3 linked regions of the Arabidopsis thaliana genome follow. The main gene of each other region encodes a partner of the protein of the gene in region 2 in a complex. Each region holds a gene or a part of one and is shown on either strand. Other genes may lie near its edges. A codon is read from its position in the direction of its gene.

Region 1 (3,059 bases), on a different chromosome or scaffold from region 2:
TAAATCACAAGATATGTACCATCCATTTTGATCCAAAAGAGTCAATGTACTAATTCATGCTTTGTTTCTTCCCTGTAAAGCTATTTGTAGCAGACTCCAACATGATTACGTATATGTTTTGGTCCTCATGTGTTGTTCATTGCTTTGGTTCTCATGTGTTGTTCATTGCTTTGGTTGATAAAGATTACATAAATGTTTTGGTGTTTCAGATCCCTGAAATCATCAGAAGGTTTGATGAGAAGCGTTTCACTTTGAAGGGTAACTGATTCCAAACTTGCTTCTAGTGATTTGATTATTTGATTTTGAGTCAACTGATGAGTGAGGATGTAGAGTACATGCATGAAGATGATGAGTGTTGAGCGAGATTTGGCTGAGAAGCTCACTACGAGGAGCTGTCTGGTGAATTCTTTGAATTTTTATTATTATTAGGCCAAACTTAAAGAAGCCCATCTCATACGAATAGACGCAGGCCGCAAATGGGCTCATGCAGTTCACTTATGCAATCCCAATGGATCTATATTACTGCTGAGAGATTTCTACAATTCGCAAATTCCATAGCTTGTGAATAGAAATTGTCTTGTTCATTATCAATTTGAATTTTTGTTCCCATAACAAATAATGAAAGATATAGTCTATATACATACGTATAACGTTCCAACCGAGATATTACAAATGTGAATGAACTCATTAAATACAACTTTAAGAATCTTTTCGAAATACAATTTCATGTAATTGTCAAAAAATTTTTGAAGCAAATCCTAAGAGATTGAAATTAAACCAAAAGAAAAAAAAAACAGTTAGTGTTTGAGATTATTCACCACAGAATTATGTCTCATGGAAGGTCCCGAAGGTGGTACAAGTACCCTTTTAGAAAATGAATGGAACACACGACCTTTGAATGTAAAACCCCCAATGATCTCTTGTCTTGATCTTGTTTGAACTATTTCCGTTTCAGAAAGCTTAATCGGTCCGATCCTTGCCGTGGCGTTGTATGAACCAAAAATCAAGAGGAAAACAATATAAAGAGTCATAAACATGGTTTTATGAGAAAGATTCATATAATGTTCGGAGAAAGAAGAAGAATAAGGAGGAGGAGACACTAATTTAGCTATTAGCTAGGGTTTTATAAATTTTGGATTTTAAGAAGGCGGTTTAAGTTTTGAGATGTATATATGAGCGTGTATATATATGATATATCATGTATGAAAGTATGCACATTCTTGTATGATTGGTCAAACAAGAAAAGCAAAAGAAAAATAAAGAAGTGAAGCGCAAGTAATGGAATGTTAGTATTTTGTGATAATATTAAAAGGTCAACGATACTACGATAGTGAATAAAAGACTTGAAATGCCGCGTTGGACGATGGTGTACGTACGTGTGATTACCTCTAGTTGTCTGTCAAAATTTAATTATCAAACATTATTGGTATTATATTGTGTAAAATATAATTTCATCATCAATTATGTGTGTAAAATTTAAATTTTTGTAAGAGAATCACGTTGTTGTAGACTTTGTATATTATATACACATTATGTGTGAACAAAAGAACAATGCGTACGTGATTGTTTAGTCCAAAGTTAGGTGCCAATGACTATCAAATCATTTGGTCTTCGATTTTGAAAGAAAAGTAAATTCTATTTTCCTTTTTCTTGTAGCTTTTTAACATGATCTCTTGAGAAGGACTTGCGTAAATAGTTTGAAGCTAACCACCATGTATAGTCCATAGGCCAAATAAACAAGTTTTGTTTAAAGAAATTATTTCCGTTATTAGGGGTTACCAAACAATTAATTTATCATATTTAATAGTTAATTATTCACCTGCAAATTATTTGTGGCACCTAATATTTAAATTATTTATCAGCACATAATTTTGTTCTGTTATAACAACTAACATAACATTTCGTCCAACAAAAATCTCTTTTCATAGGTTAATGTGTTTATATATTCATGTGACAACTTTCACGGAGTAGACGTAAATGTCAAACCATGCACACGCATGATCCGTTGGATTTTGATCGTCCACTGGAGACAGATATTCGTCTGGACCACTAGATTTCTGAGATTTTAATATGTTTGCATAATTATAGGTAATAACATATGATTTCTTCAGAATTATTCTAGAAATTTTAAAGTAGTCTATACTTATACTCTAGCACCAGAGTTTCATTTTATAAAATGCCAATAATCTATTTGAAACGTGTAATGCTTTTGACCATTTATTAAGATTTGTGTTGGTACTAGTGGACAAATTTTAAGTTTACTTACTCAAGATTTATAACAAAATATACAAATTTAAATATTGTGTTAATCAATCATGATACAACCATAATTAATAATAATCATGTGCATGAATGCAATGGCAAGGACTTCTTTTCAGTTGATACAATTTTTTAGTTTATTTACTCAAGATTTATAACAAAATATACATATTTAAAAATTGTGTTAATCAATCATGATACTCAACAATAATCAAGTGCATGAATGCAATGGCAAGGGCCAAGGACCAATAAATCAAAAACGAATAAAAGAAAAAAACCATCCCCATTTAGGAGTACCAAATAAGAGCATAGAGACCAAGAAGAAGAAGAAGAAAGAATACGTATGTGGCCCATGGGGTGTATCTACATTTATATTATAAAAGAATTGAAGTACAATTACAATTGATAAATCCGTTGCTTAAACCAAGCATGAAATGTAAACGCAAAAAGAGCCTTGGTGGTTACATGGTTAGGCTACATTGGCTAACAATGGAGGAACAAAGCTCGATCCTTTAAGAGTCTGCTCAAATATGTGACCCACTTTCAGCAATTTCTCCTAAAACCAATCAACAAATCATCATGTGAATCTTAATCTAATCTTTTAGAGTAAGCAAAGAGACAGAGTTTATAACAAACCTCATCAAACGCTGCTCCGATCATTTGAAGACCAACAGGAAGACCCGAGGGACCACCTTCGACTAATCCACAAGGTAATACCATTGCAGGAAGTCCGGCAAGATTCACATTGACCTGCAACAAACCTCATATGATACAAACTATGTTTCGTGTAACAACGATTA
Region 2 (5,976 bases):
TCCATCTTCAATTGTTTTTTCGTTAATCACTCTGCAAATTCGAATGATTATATATGTTTCTTTTTTTTGTCTCTATGGTTAATTCTGATTTGAAAGAATTGCACAAGATTTTATGGGTTTCGATTTCTTTCTTTTTTGGTGTTTGCTTCCGTTGAGTTGTTTGTTCAGGTTTCAAGGTTGATATTCTGTTCTTCCATTTTTATGTTTCTGTTGCATGTCAGGATTAGCAATAAAAAACGTAAAAACCAAATAACATTTGAGTAACGAAACAAGAAATAGGAGTTTTGTAACAGAAAGGATTAAACTAAAACTCTGTCACCGTTTCCTAAGAAGATATATCATTATCAAAGTTACTTTTATTATATTGATATAGTAAAACTTTGCTAAACTAGTAAAAACTAGTTTTTCGAAAATAATCTAGATTAGAATTCTCCAAAGACGTGGCTTAATTCTAATCTGTCTAACGTATGGACCATAAAGAATTGTATTAAATTGGTCTTTGAACGAATTTATTCTTCGGCTAAAAGAGGTTATCGGTTGTGAAGTGGACCTGCAATTTCATTTGTTTGTTCATAAGAATATATGAACGAGAACTTAGGTGACCTCTATTTCATATAACTTTTACATACTGCATACTGGTAAATCATATGAAATATGGACTTTTAAAACGAAACAAAAATCACGTATAACCCTATTAGTGTATATAGAGTCTCTGTTGTGTTGAGACTCTGTTGTGTTGAGACTCTATATACACTAATAAACCCTTTTTACTTCTTTGTTCCATACGAATTAAGCTTCAGAATAACAGAATTTAAGAGAATATCGTTATTAACAGCAAAAGTCCAAAACAATTAAAAGGCAGAGTGCTTGTGGAGACGTAAAGGGAATGCAAACTAAGAAGAAGAAAAGTCATTATCGTTAGAGGACCAAAGACTTAAACATTATTGGATTAAGGTGACATCATAGTGCATAGTGCGTTGTACCATCGCGCAAACTCGTGATATTCGATCACGGATTAAAGCCATGATCTATCATTTTCTCTTCTTTCCCCCCTTAAATCTCGTTGTTTTTTCAAATCATAGTGACTGTTGCTTTTCCCATCGAAATGAAAGTAATCTAACAAAATCTACTGTTAGATCATGTTTCTCCGACCAACCAAATTTGACCTTGTCTACATATACACGTGGCTTCACAAATGCGCATCAAGCAATTGGAACTTGGAAGCATCACTATAGTTCTAAACTTCCAATTAAAAGATTGTTAGTCAATCTAGGGTTGGGATCATAGGTGGCTAAGTTTTCGGTTTAACAAATTTTCGAGATCATCGATATAAAATCATAGGATATGTCCTCATCACAATACAGTATACACACACACATAAGTGATTAAGTTATGCATTCATAACATTAATCCAGAAGCTTTATATGCAGACTCGAAAAGTCAACATAAATCCAGCATTACATGGCCCATTTGTCTCCATCATTTTGACCATCATAGCATTTCAGTTGACTTGGAGAGTGACCATTGGTCCATTCTGTTTCTTTTCAAATGAACAATTAAATGTTTGTTCATTTATCAAAAAAATATTTTTTATAAAATTACCTTATGTAATTATTCATAATCCGATTTTTTTTTAATATCACTTTACAAATTTGTTTATGATTTATATGTACAGTAGTACTTTGCTCCGTAATCGATTTCACATGGATGTATACTATTGCCTCCTAATTCTTCCAATATCGGAAAACATGTCTCACCCATGTCTTGTCACAGTGCTCGTTTCCCTTTTTGCTTCTACAATTCCTTATAATTACCAATCCATAATTTCGTTTTATTCACAAATCCAAAGCATGAAAAAAGAAGAATAACGATTCCTTTTCCAAAAAAATGCTTTATTGTCTTATTCTCCTCCTATGTCTCTCTTCTACGTATCTACCAAGTCTATCTCTAAACCAAGATGCCACCATTCTCCGGCAAGCCAAACTGGGCTTATCCGACCCGGCCCAGTCCCTATCTTCATGGTCCGACAACAACGACGTCACCCCATGCAAGTGGCTAGGCGTGAGCTGCGACGCCACGTCAAACGTTGTCTCCGTCGATCTCTCAAGCTTCATGCTCGTCGGACCTTTCCCCTCCATCCTCTGCCACCTTCCTTCTCTCCATTCCCTCTCTCTATATAATAACTCCATCAATGGCTCTCTCTCCGCCGACGACTTCGATACGTGTCACAATCTCATCAGTCTTGATTTATCGGAGAATCTATTGGTTGGATCCATCCCAAAGTCACTTCCTTTCAATCTCCCAAACCTCAAGTTCCTTGAAATCTCCGGAAACAACTTATCAGACACGATCCCGTCGAGCTTCGGAGAGTTTCGAAAGCTTGAGTCTTTAAACCTCGCCGGTAACTTCCTCTCCGGTACAATTCCCGCCTCTCTCGGTAACGTCACGACTCTTAAAGAACTCAAACTCGCTTACAATTTGTTTTCTCCGAGTCAAATCCCGAGTCAACTCGGAAACCTCACGGAGCTCCAAGTTCTCTGGCTCGCCGGCTGCAACCTCGTCGGTCCGATACCTCCGTCTCTGTCCCGGTTAACTAGTTTGGTTAACTTGGATTTGACATTTAACCAACTCACAGGATCTATCCCAAGTTGGATCACGCAGCTAAAAACCGTCGAGCAAATCGAACTATTCAACAACTCGTTCTCAGGCGAGTTACCAGAATCCATGGGTAACATGACGACGCTAAAAAGATTCGACGCGTCGATGAATAAGCTGACAGGAAAAATACCCGACAACTTGAATCTGTTAAACCTCGAGTCACTCAATCTCTTCGAGAACATGCTCGAAGGTCCTTTACCGGAGAGCATAACTCGCTCCAAAACCTTGTCAGAACTCAAGCTTTTCAACAACAGACTCACCGGAGTATTACCGAGTCAACTCGGCGCTAACTCACCGTTACAGTACGTGGACTTATCGTATAACCGATTTTCCGGCGAAATACCGGCGAATGTCTGCGGTGAAGGGAAGCTAGAGTATCTAATTCTTATAGACAATTCGTTTTCAGGAGAAATCTCTAATAATCTCGGAAAGTGTAAGAGCTTGACCCGGGTCCGATTGAGTAACAACAAGCTTTCGGGTCAAATCCCACATGGATTCTGGGGATTGCCTCGCTTGTCACTTCTCGAACTCTCTGACAATTCGTTCACCGGAAGTATTCCTAAGACGATCATCGGCGCGAAGAATCTATCGAACCTACGAATCTCAAAGAATCGATTTTCAGGTTCAATCCCCAACGAAATCGGATCGCTTAACGGAATAATCGAGATTTCCGGAGCGGAGAATGATTTCTCCGGTGAGATTCCTGAAAGCTTGGTGAAATTGAAGCAATTGAGCAGGCTTGATCTCAGTAAGAATCAACTCTCCGGTGAGATTCCTAGAGAACTTCGTGGTTGGAAGAATCTAAACGAGCTTAATTTGGCTAATAATCATCTCTCCGGTGAAATCCCTAAAGAAGTCGGAATCTTACCTGTTCTCAATTACCTTGACCTTTCAAGCAATCAATTCTCCGGTGAGATTCCGTTGGAGTTACAGAATCTGAAGCTAAACGTTTTAAACCTTTCGTATAATCACCTCTCCGGTAAAATCCCTCCTCTCTACGCTAATAAAATCTACGCACATGACTTCATCGGAAATCCCGGTTTATGTGTTGATCTCGACGGCCTTTGTCGGAAGATCACACGGTCTAAAAACATCGGCTATGTATGGATTCTTTTAACGATTTTCTTACTCGCCGGTTTGGTTTTCGTTGTCGGGATCGTTATGTTCATTGCCAAGTGTAGAAAACTCAGAGCTTTGAAGAGTTCTACTTTAGCAGCGTCGAAATGGAGATCATTCCACAAGCTTCATTTCAGTGAGCACGAGATAGCTGATTGTCTCGATGAAAAGAACGTAATCGGGTTTGGATCTTCTGGTAAAGTCTATAAAGTTGAGCTTAGAGGTGGAGAAGTTGTAGCTGTGAAGAAACTTAACAAAAGTGTTAAAGGAGGAGATGATGAATACAGTAGTGATTCGTTGAATAGAGATGTTTTTGCAGCGGAGGTTGAAACGTTGGGGACGATTAGGCACAAGAGTATTGTGCGTTTGTGGTGTTGTTGCAGCTCTGGTGATTGTAAGTTGTTGGTGTATGAGTACATGCCTAATGGGAGCTTAGCTGATGTGTTGCATGGTGACCGCAAAGGCGGTGTTGTGTTGGGTTGGCCAGAGCGGTTGAGGATTGCTTTGGACGCTGCCGAGGGTTTATCATACTTGCACCATGATTGTGTTCCTCCCATTGTGCACCGCGATGTGAAGTCGAGTAACATACTGCTAGATAGCGATTATGGGGCTAAAGTTGCTGACTTTGGGATCGCTAAAGTCGGTCAGATGAGTGGTTCCAAAACTCCAGAAGCTATGTCCGGGATCGCCGGTTCTTGTGGTTACATTGCACCAGGTATAAACCAAAACATATTTCAGCTGCATTTTGTAACTTTTGATCTTATATTAATAGTTTTCAATTTTGCAGAATACGTATACACACTTCGGGTGAATGAAAAGAGCGATATCTACAGCTTTGGTGTGGTGCTTTTGGAACTGGTTACAGGGAAGCAACCAACTGATTCAGAACTTGGAGATAAAGATATGGCAAAATGGGTGTGCACTGCACTTGACAAATGCGGTTTAGAACCCGTGATCGATCCCAAACTCGATCTCAAGTTCAAAGAAGAAATTAGTAAAGTCATTCACATTGGTCTACTCTGTACGAGTCCTCTCCCTCTAAACAGACCTTCCATGAGAAAAGTTGTGATCATGCTTCAAGAAGTCTCTGGTGCTGTTCCTTGTAGCAGTCCAAACACATCTAAACGATCTAAAACCGGTGGGAAACTCTCGCCTTACTACACGGAAGACTTGAACAGCGTTTGAACATTCCAATATGGGCTGAGAATCGGTTTGGGCCGGGGATAGCAATTTGATGTTATGATGCTAGGTGAACTGTAAGAAAGATATCAAAAACAGAAAAGTGGAGCTTTCTGATTAGGTAATTGCTCTTAAAGCTAATATAAAGTTATAATTTGGATATTAATTTTAATTTAACGCAATATTTGCAATATTTGGTGGTTGGTCCACCCAATAGCCAACCTTATTTAAACTCGAGCTCGTTACCAGTTCAATTTTGGAAAACGGATCGATTCTGACGAGTGATGATCAATATTTTTTTTTCTAATTTTTTTTTCATATTCTTATAAAGTAAAACTTAGTGTGGTAATACTAATGCCATTATAAAAAGTAAATTCTAAATAGCCAAGCATAGACAGCATATGTCAGTATAATGTGGTTAGATAGATTTCTTGAATGACACCTTGCCGCGGTTTCGATCCACCAATGAAAACAACAAGCTAACCACAAAATTTTCCAACAGACACAGAAGTGTAACATTTGTTCATAATTTTTTGTTTAGTTTGATAATAAATTAAGAATAGGTTGTATAACATGTGTTTAGAGTTAACAGGGGAGAGCAGAAACAAAAATCAGAAAACAAAGAGAAAAAATAAATAAAGGTTGAGGAGGTTCCTTGTTAATGTTATGCATGAGAAGTCTACGTGAAGAAATAGAATAATGACTAGCTTTTTAACTTTCCATTTTTTTTCTTTTTTTTTCTTTTTCTTTTTATCTATCTAAAAACCAATATTATAATGTTTTCTAACGTATATCACTAATATCAGTATGTGATTTCAGTAAAATTTATGTACATACAGTAATATACTGATGATGGAGATGTTAAATATGTGTAAATTATAAGTATAAGTTTATGTATAATATCTTTACATACACTCTAGGGTGACATTGGACCTTAACTTCTCTTTCTTATTTTTTGTTCTACCATATCACGTCTGAGCTCTCACAGACCAGCAACAACACCTTGCCCCAAACTTACTCCAT
Region 3 (3,142 bases), on a different chromosome or scaffold from region 2:
AGGTCTACGGGTTAACCGGATTGTTGATATTGGATGTGAGCAGGAATTTCTTATCTGGGGCGTTGCCTTTAAGCGTTGGAGGATTGTATTCTCTGCTGAAACTTGATCTTAGTAACAATTACTTGGAAGGAAAGTTACCTAGAGAGCTAGAGTCCTTGAAGAATCTCACTCTATTGGACTTGAGAAACAACAGATTATCAGGTGGGTTGAGTAAAGAGATCCAAGAGATGACTTCTTTGGTAGAACTGGTTCTGTCCAATAATCGCCTAGCCGGGGACTTGACAGGAATAAAGTGGAGAAATCTGAAGAATTTAGTGGTTCTTGATCTCTCCAACACAGGCTTAAAAGGGGAGATTCCTGGTTCAATCTTGGAGCTCAAGAAACTGAGGTTTTTGGGTTTGAGCAACAACAATCTCGGAGGCAAACTCATTCCACAAATGGAAACCGAAATGCCTAGTCTCAGCGCGCTTTACGTGAATGGAAATAACATCAGCGGAGAGTTGGAATTCTCTAGGTACTTTTATGAGAGAATGGGAAGGAGACTTGGTGTTTGGGGGAACCCTAATCTGTGTTACAACGGAGATGAGACCAAGAACCTTAGCGATCATGTTCCTTTCGGAGTGAACCAATGTAAGAGAATTAAGGCAGATAAATATTAGAACCCTCGTTCTGAATCAAAGGGTTTGTGATAACAAAAACTTGGAATGATACAAAGCTGTGGTCTTTTCAATTTTGTTATTGCATCTTATTTCTATAGCATTATTTTGTTTTAAATTATTTAGCGTATTTACAAAATATAGTTTTGATATCTCGAAGTTCATTAGAAAAACTTCCAAGTATTTTTTTTTTAGATCATACAATCATAAAATTAAATAACAGACTTACCTAGTTTAAATTTACTGTGTATCAATGATTCAATGTATGATACGGTCGGTTCTTACCTAGTTAAAATTTGTTTTTTTTTAGTATATGTAAAGATCTACCTGTTTCCATCAAATTAGAAGAATTGTATGATTTTATGCGACATGTCTAATCGTAGGAGGTATGTTGGAACTTTATTTTATTTTGGCATTTCATAAAGGAAATATAAAAAATTCTATTTAGGTAAAAATAATAATCCGTGACTAAGTCCGATATAGATGCAGAAATCAGGTGGATATCCAAATCAAATTTGGCATAATTTAAAGAAAAATGTGAATCATGGAAAGCCACTTGTCAAGTTGTAAAATTGTGTATAACTGAGTCAACCCTCCAAGCTACTTTTTGTTCTCTCTTTAATTTCTTAAAATACCTTCTCACGCAAAAGATAGAGTTGGTATACATTGTTTTTACGTGTTTTATGCATGCATTTTTCAGTATATTTTATGTGTATATTCGTTTAACTAAATTATTATTTATTCCGTATCATGATTAACCTACGACATGTTATCATTTAGTCTAATCCTTTTACTATACATACGTGTATTGTCTACCACTTTCGTCATTCGTCCAAGGATGATATCTAATTTTCTTTCTGCACGACATATATGATATATTGTGTGCTTAAAGAAAGCTCATGAGTCATGTCTGATATTTGAGTTCGAATTTCGAAAACTAATCTTGCTTTACTATTCATACATCTTGTGATATAGTTACTGTTGAAAGTTGAATAATGCAAAAGAAAACAAAAGATAGCTCATGGTGACGATGCCTATAAAACCATTAATTATTCTTCTTCCCGTCAACGTACTTGTACATATATGATGAAATCTTGAAAAAAACGACCATCCCATCAAACCAGATTCCCATTTCCTAGCATAAAATGGACTTCTATAGAAAAATACAAAGGAAAATAAAAGTCGAAGGCGGTGACTAAAACAACGAGAAAAACTCAAACCTTTGAAAACTTTAGAATTCTTATAAAATAATAAGGAAAATTCAAAGTCTCAATAGCGTGGGATTCACTCCACTCTTACCATTCCCCGACTTCCCCCTCATTTCCGCCACACTTATTTCCAATCAAATCCACACACACACATGTTATAAATATAACACATAGTCACATACATACACATTATTCATTTCATTCATAAGACCCTTCATTCATTTACTCAAAGAAGTGGAAGTGAAAAAATTAGAAAAAGAGAAGAAAAAAAACATTGACTACCAAATGGCTCCGTGTCGTACGATGATGGTTCTGCTCTGTTTTGTTCTGTTTCTCGCGGCGAGTAGTTCTTGTGTAGCGGCTGCAAGAATTGGAGCCACCATGGAGATGAAGAAGAATATAAAGAGATTAACGTTTAAAAACAGCCATATTTTTGGTTACTTACCTAAAGGCGTTCCCATTCCTCCTTCTGCTCCTTCTAAGAGACACAACTCTTTTGTTAACTCTCTTCCTCATTGATTTCATTTTATTTTATTCATTGTATTCTTTTAGGTTTGGTTTTGTAGATTAGATCAACATAGGGTATTATACTCTTTGTATATGCATACGATTTATATTTACTTTTGAATTTGTTCCTTTTTATGTTTATAGACTTAATATATGTTTAAGGTCATTACGGCCATATAAAGATCAAGAAATCGATTAAGCTTTGTTAGCCTTCTACTAAAGAATATTCCATAGACCTCACTCATCATACGCTAATCAAACATATGTTTTTATGCAACTTGTAAGTTATATCATTCGTCTTTCTCAAATAGGTCAATGTTTGAGTTAAGACTTAAGAACGTAATAATCAAACATAGAGAAATAAAATCGATAGGACACATGATAAGTTTATTACTAATTAGGAAAACAGAAACCAAAAATACAATAAAAAAGAGTAAAAGAGAGGGGCATTCCGAGAATTGAACTCGGGACCTCTCGCACCCTAAGCGAGAATCATACCACTAGACCAAATGCCCAATTTGCAACATTCAATCCCAAATCAATCATTAACTCTTACATCTATTAGTCTCCACCACCATGAGTGAAAGGATTGAAACCACTTCCAAACAATTTCTCAAGTGGCCAAAACAAAGGCTTTGGTAGATTCTCCCAATCATACCAATCCCATCCTTCACACTTCTCTGGTTCCATATTCTTCGGTTCTTGACTTGGATCCACCAACACCGCACGTATCGAAACAGAGACGTAGTGTGATGGCGTTGGTGCTTCTTT

What was found.
Region 1: the proteins of HAE (region 2) and IDL1 are in contact, whole or in part, in a crystal structure (PDB 5IYV), measured with the Arabidopsis thaliana proteins. Residues at the interface, in NP_194578.1 of Arabidopsis thaliana: Glu123 (codon at 2,254), Ser147 (codon at 2,326), Gly148 (codon at 2,329), Ala171 (codon at 2,398), Gly172 (codon at 2,401), Tyr196 (codon at 2,473), Trp218 (codon at 2,539), Asn240 (codon at 2,605), Asp242 (codon at 2,611), Gln264 (codon at 2,677), Glu266 (codon at 2,683), Phe268 (codon at 2,689), Arg288 (codon at 2,749), Phe289 (codon at 2,752), Asp290 (codon at 2,755), Ser311 (codon at 2,818), Asn313 (codon at 2,824), Phe315 (codon at 2,830), Glu316 (codon at 2,833), Glu335 (codon at 2,890), Lys337 (codon at 2,896), Phe339 (codon at 2,902), Tyr359 (codon at 2,962), Asp361 (codon at 2,968), Ser363 (codon at 2,974), Tyr364 (codon at 2,977), Tyr383 (codon at 3,034), Ile385 (codon at 3,040), Arg407 (codon at 3,106), Arg409 (codon at 3,112); in NP_566774.1 of Arabidopsis thaliana: Leu67 (codon at 860), Val68 (codon at 857), Pro69 (codon at 854), Pro70 (codon at 851), Ser71 (codon at 848), Gly72 (codon at 845), Pro73 (codon at 842), Ser74 (codon at 839), Met75 (codon at 836), Arg76 (codon at 833), His77 (codon at 830), Asn78 (codon at 827).
Region 3: the proteins of HAE (region 2) and IDA are in contact, whole or in part, in a crystal structure (PDB 5IYX), measured with the Arabidopsis thaliana proteins. Residues at the interface, in NP_194578.1 of Arabidopsis thaliana: Tyr97 (codon at 2,176), Asn98 (codon at 2,179), Glu123 (codon at 2,254), Ser147 (codon at 2,326), Gly148 (codon at 2,329), Ala171 (codon at 2,398), Gly172 (codon at 2,401), Tyr196 (codon at 2,473), Trp218 (codon at 2,539), Asn240 (codon at 2,605), Asp242 (codon at 2,611), Gln264 (codon at 2,677), Glu266 (codon at 2,683), Phe268 (codon at 2,689), Arg288 (codon at 2,749), Phe289 (codon at 2,752), Asp290 (codon at 2,755), Met293 (codon at 2,764), Ser311 (codon at 2,818), Asn313 (codon at 2,824), Phe315 (codon at 2,830), Glu316 (codon at 2,833), Glu335 (codon at 2,890), Lys337 (codon at 2,896), Phe339 (codon at 2,902), Asn340 (codon at 2,905), Asp361 (codon at 2,968), Ser363 (codon at 2,974), Tyr364 (codon at 2,977), Tyr383 (codon at 3,034); in NP_564941.1 of Arabidopsis thaliana: Val57 (codon at 2,318), Ile59 (codon at 2,324), Pro60 (codon at 2,327), Ser62 (codon at 2,333), Ala63 (codon at 2,336), Pro64 (codon at 2,339), Ser65 (codon at 2,342), Lys66 (codon at 2,345), Arg67 (codon at 2,348), His68 (codon at 2,351), Asn69 (codon at 2,354).

The regions. Positions count from the first base shown.
Region 1 is NC_003074.8:9,336,912-9,339,970, forward strand, and holds IDL1 (inflorescence deficient in abscission (IDA)-like 1), read right to left. Parts: upstream 1,165-3,059; 5' UTR 1,059-1,164; coding exon 798-1,058; 3' UTR 520-797; downstream 1-519. Other genes in the region: AT3G25660 (Amidase family protein), read right to left, coding at 2,729-2,815, 2,896-3,009. UniProt on the Arabidopsis thaliana protein: Involved in an ethylene-independent separation step of floral abscission. May act with RLK5 and HSL2 as ligand-receptor pairs.
Region 2 is NC_003075.7:14,076,007-14,081,982, forward strand, and holds HAE (Leucine-rich receptor-like protein kinase family protein), read left to right. Parts: upstream 1-1,669; 5' UTR 1,670-1,887; coding exon 1,888-4,489; intron 4,490-4,561; coding exon 4,562-4,959; 3' UTR 4,960-5,451; downstream 5,452-5,976. Other genes in the region: DMP7 (transmembrane protein, putative (DUF679 domain membrane protein 7)), read right to left, coding at 1-5. UniProt on the Arabidopsis thaliana protein: Receptor with a dual specificity kinase activity acting on both serine/threonine- and tyrosine-containing substrates that controls floral organ abscission. May interact with the 'INFLORESCENCE DEFICIENT IN ABSCISSION' (IDA) ligands family.
Region 3 is NC_003070.9:25,829,398-25,832,539, reverse strand, and holds IDA (Putative membrane lipoprotein), read left to right. Parts: upstream 1-1,758; 5' UTR 1,759-2,149; coding exon 2,150-2,383; 3' UTR 2,384-2,623; downstream 2,624-3,142. Other genes in the region: AT1G68780 (RNI-like superfamily protein), read left to right, coding at 1-659; NUDX1 (nudix hydrolase 1), read right to left, coding at 2,933-3,142. UniProt on the Arabidopsis thaliana protein: Involved in an ethylene-independent separation step of floral abscission. Promotes abscission zone (AZ) cells rounding. May act with RLK5 and HSL2 as ligand-receptor pairs.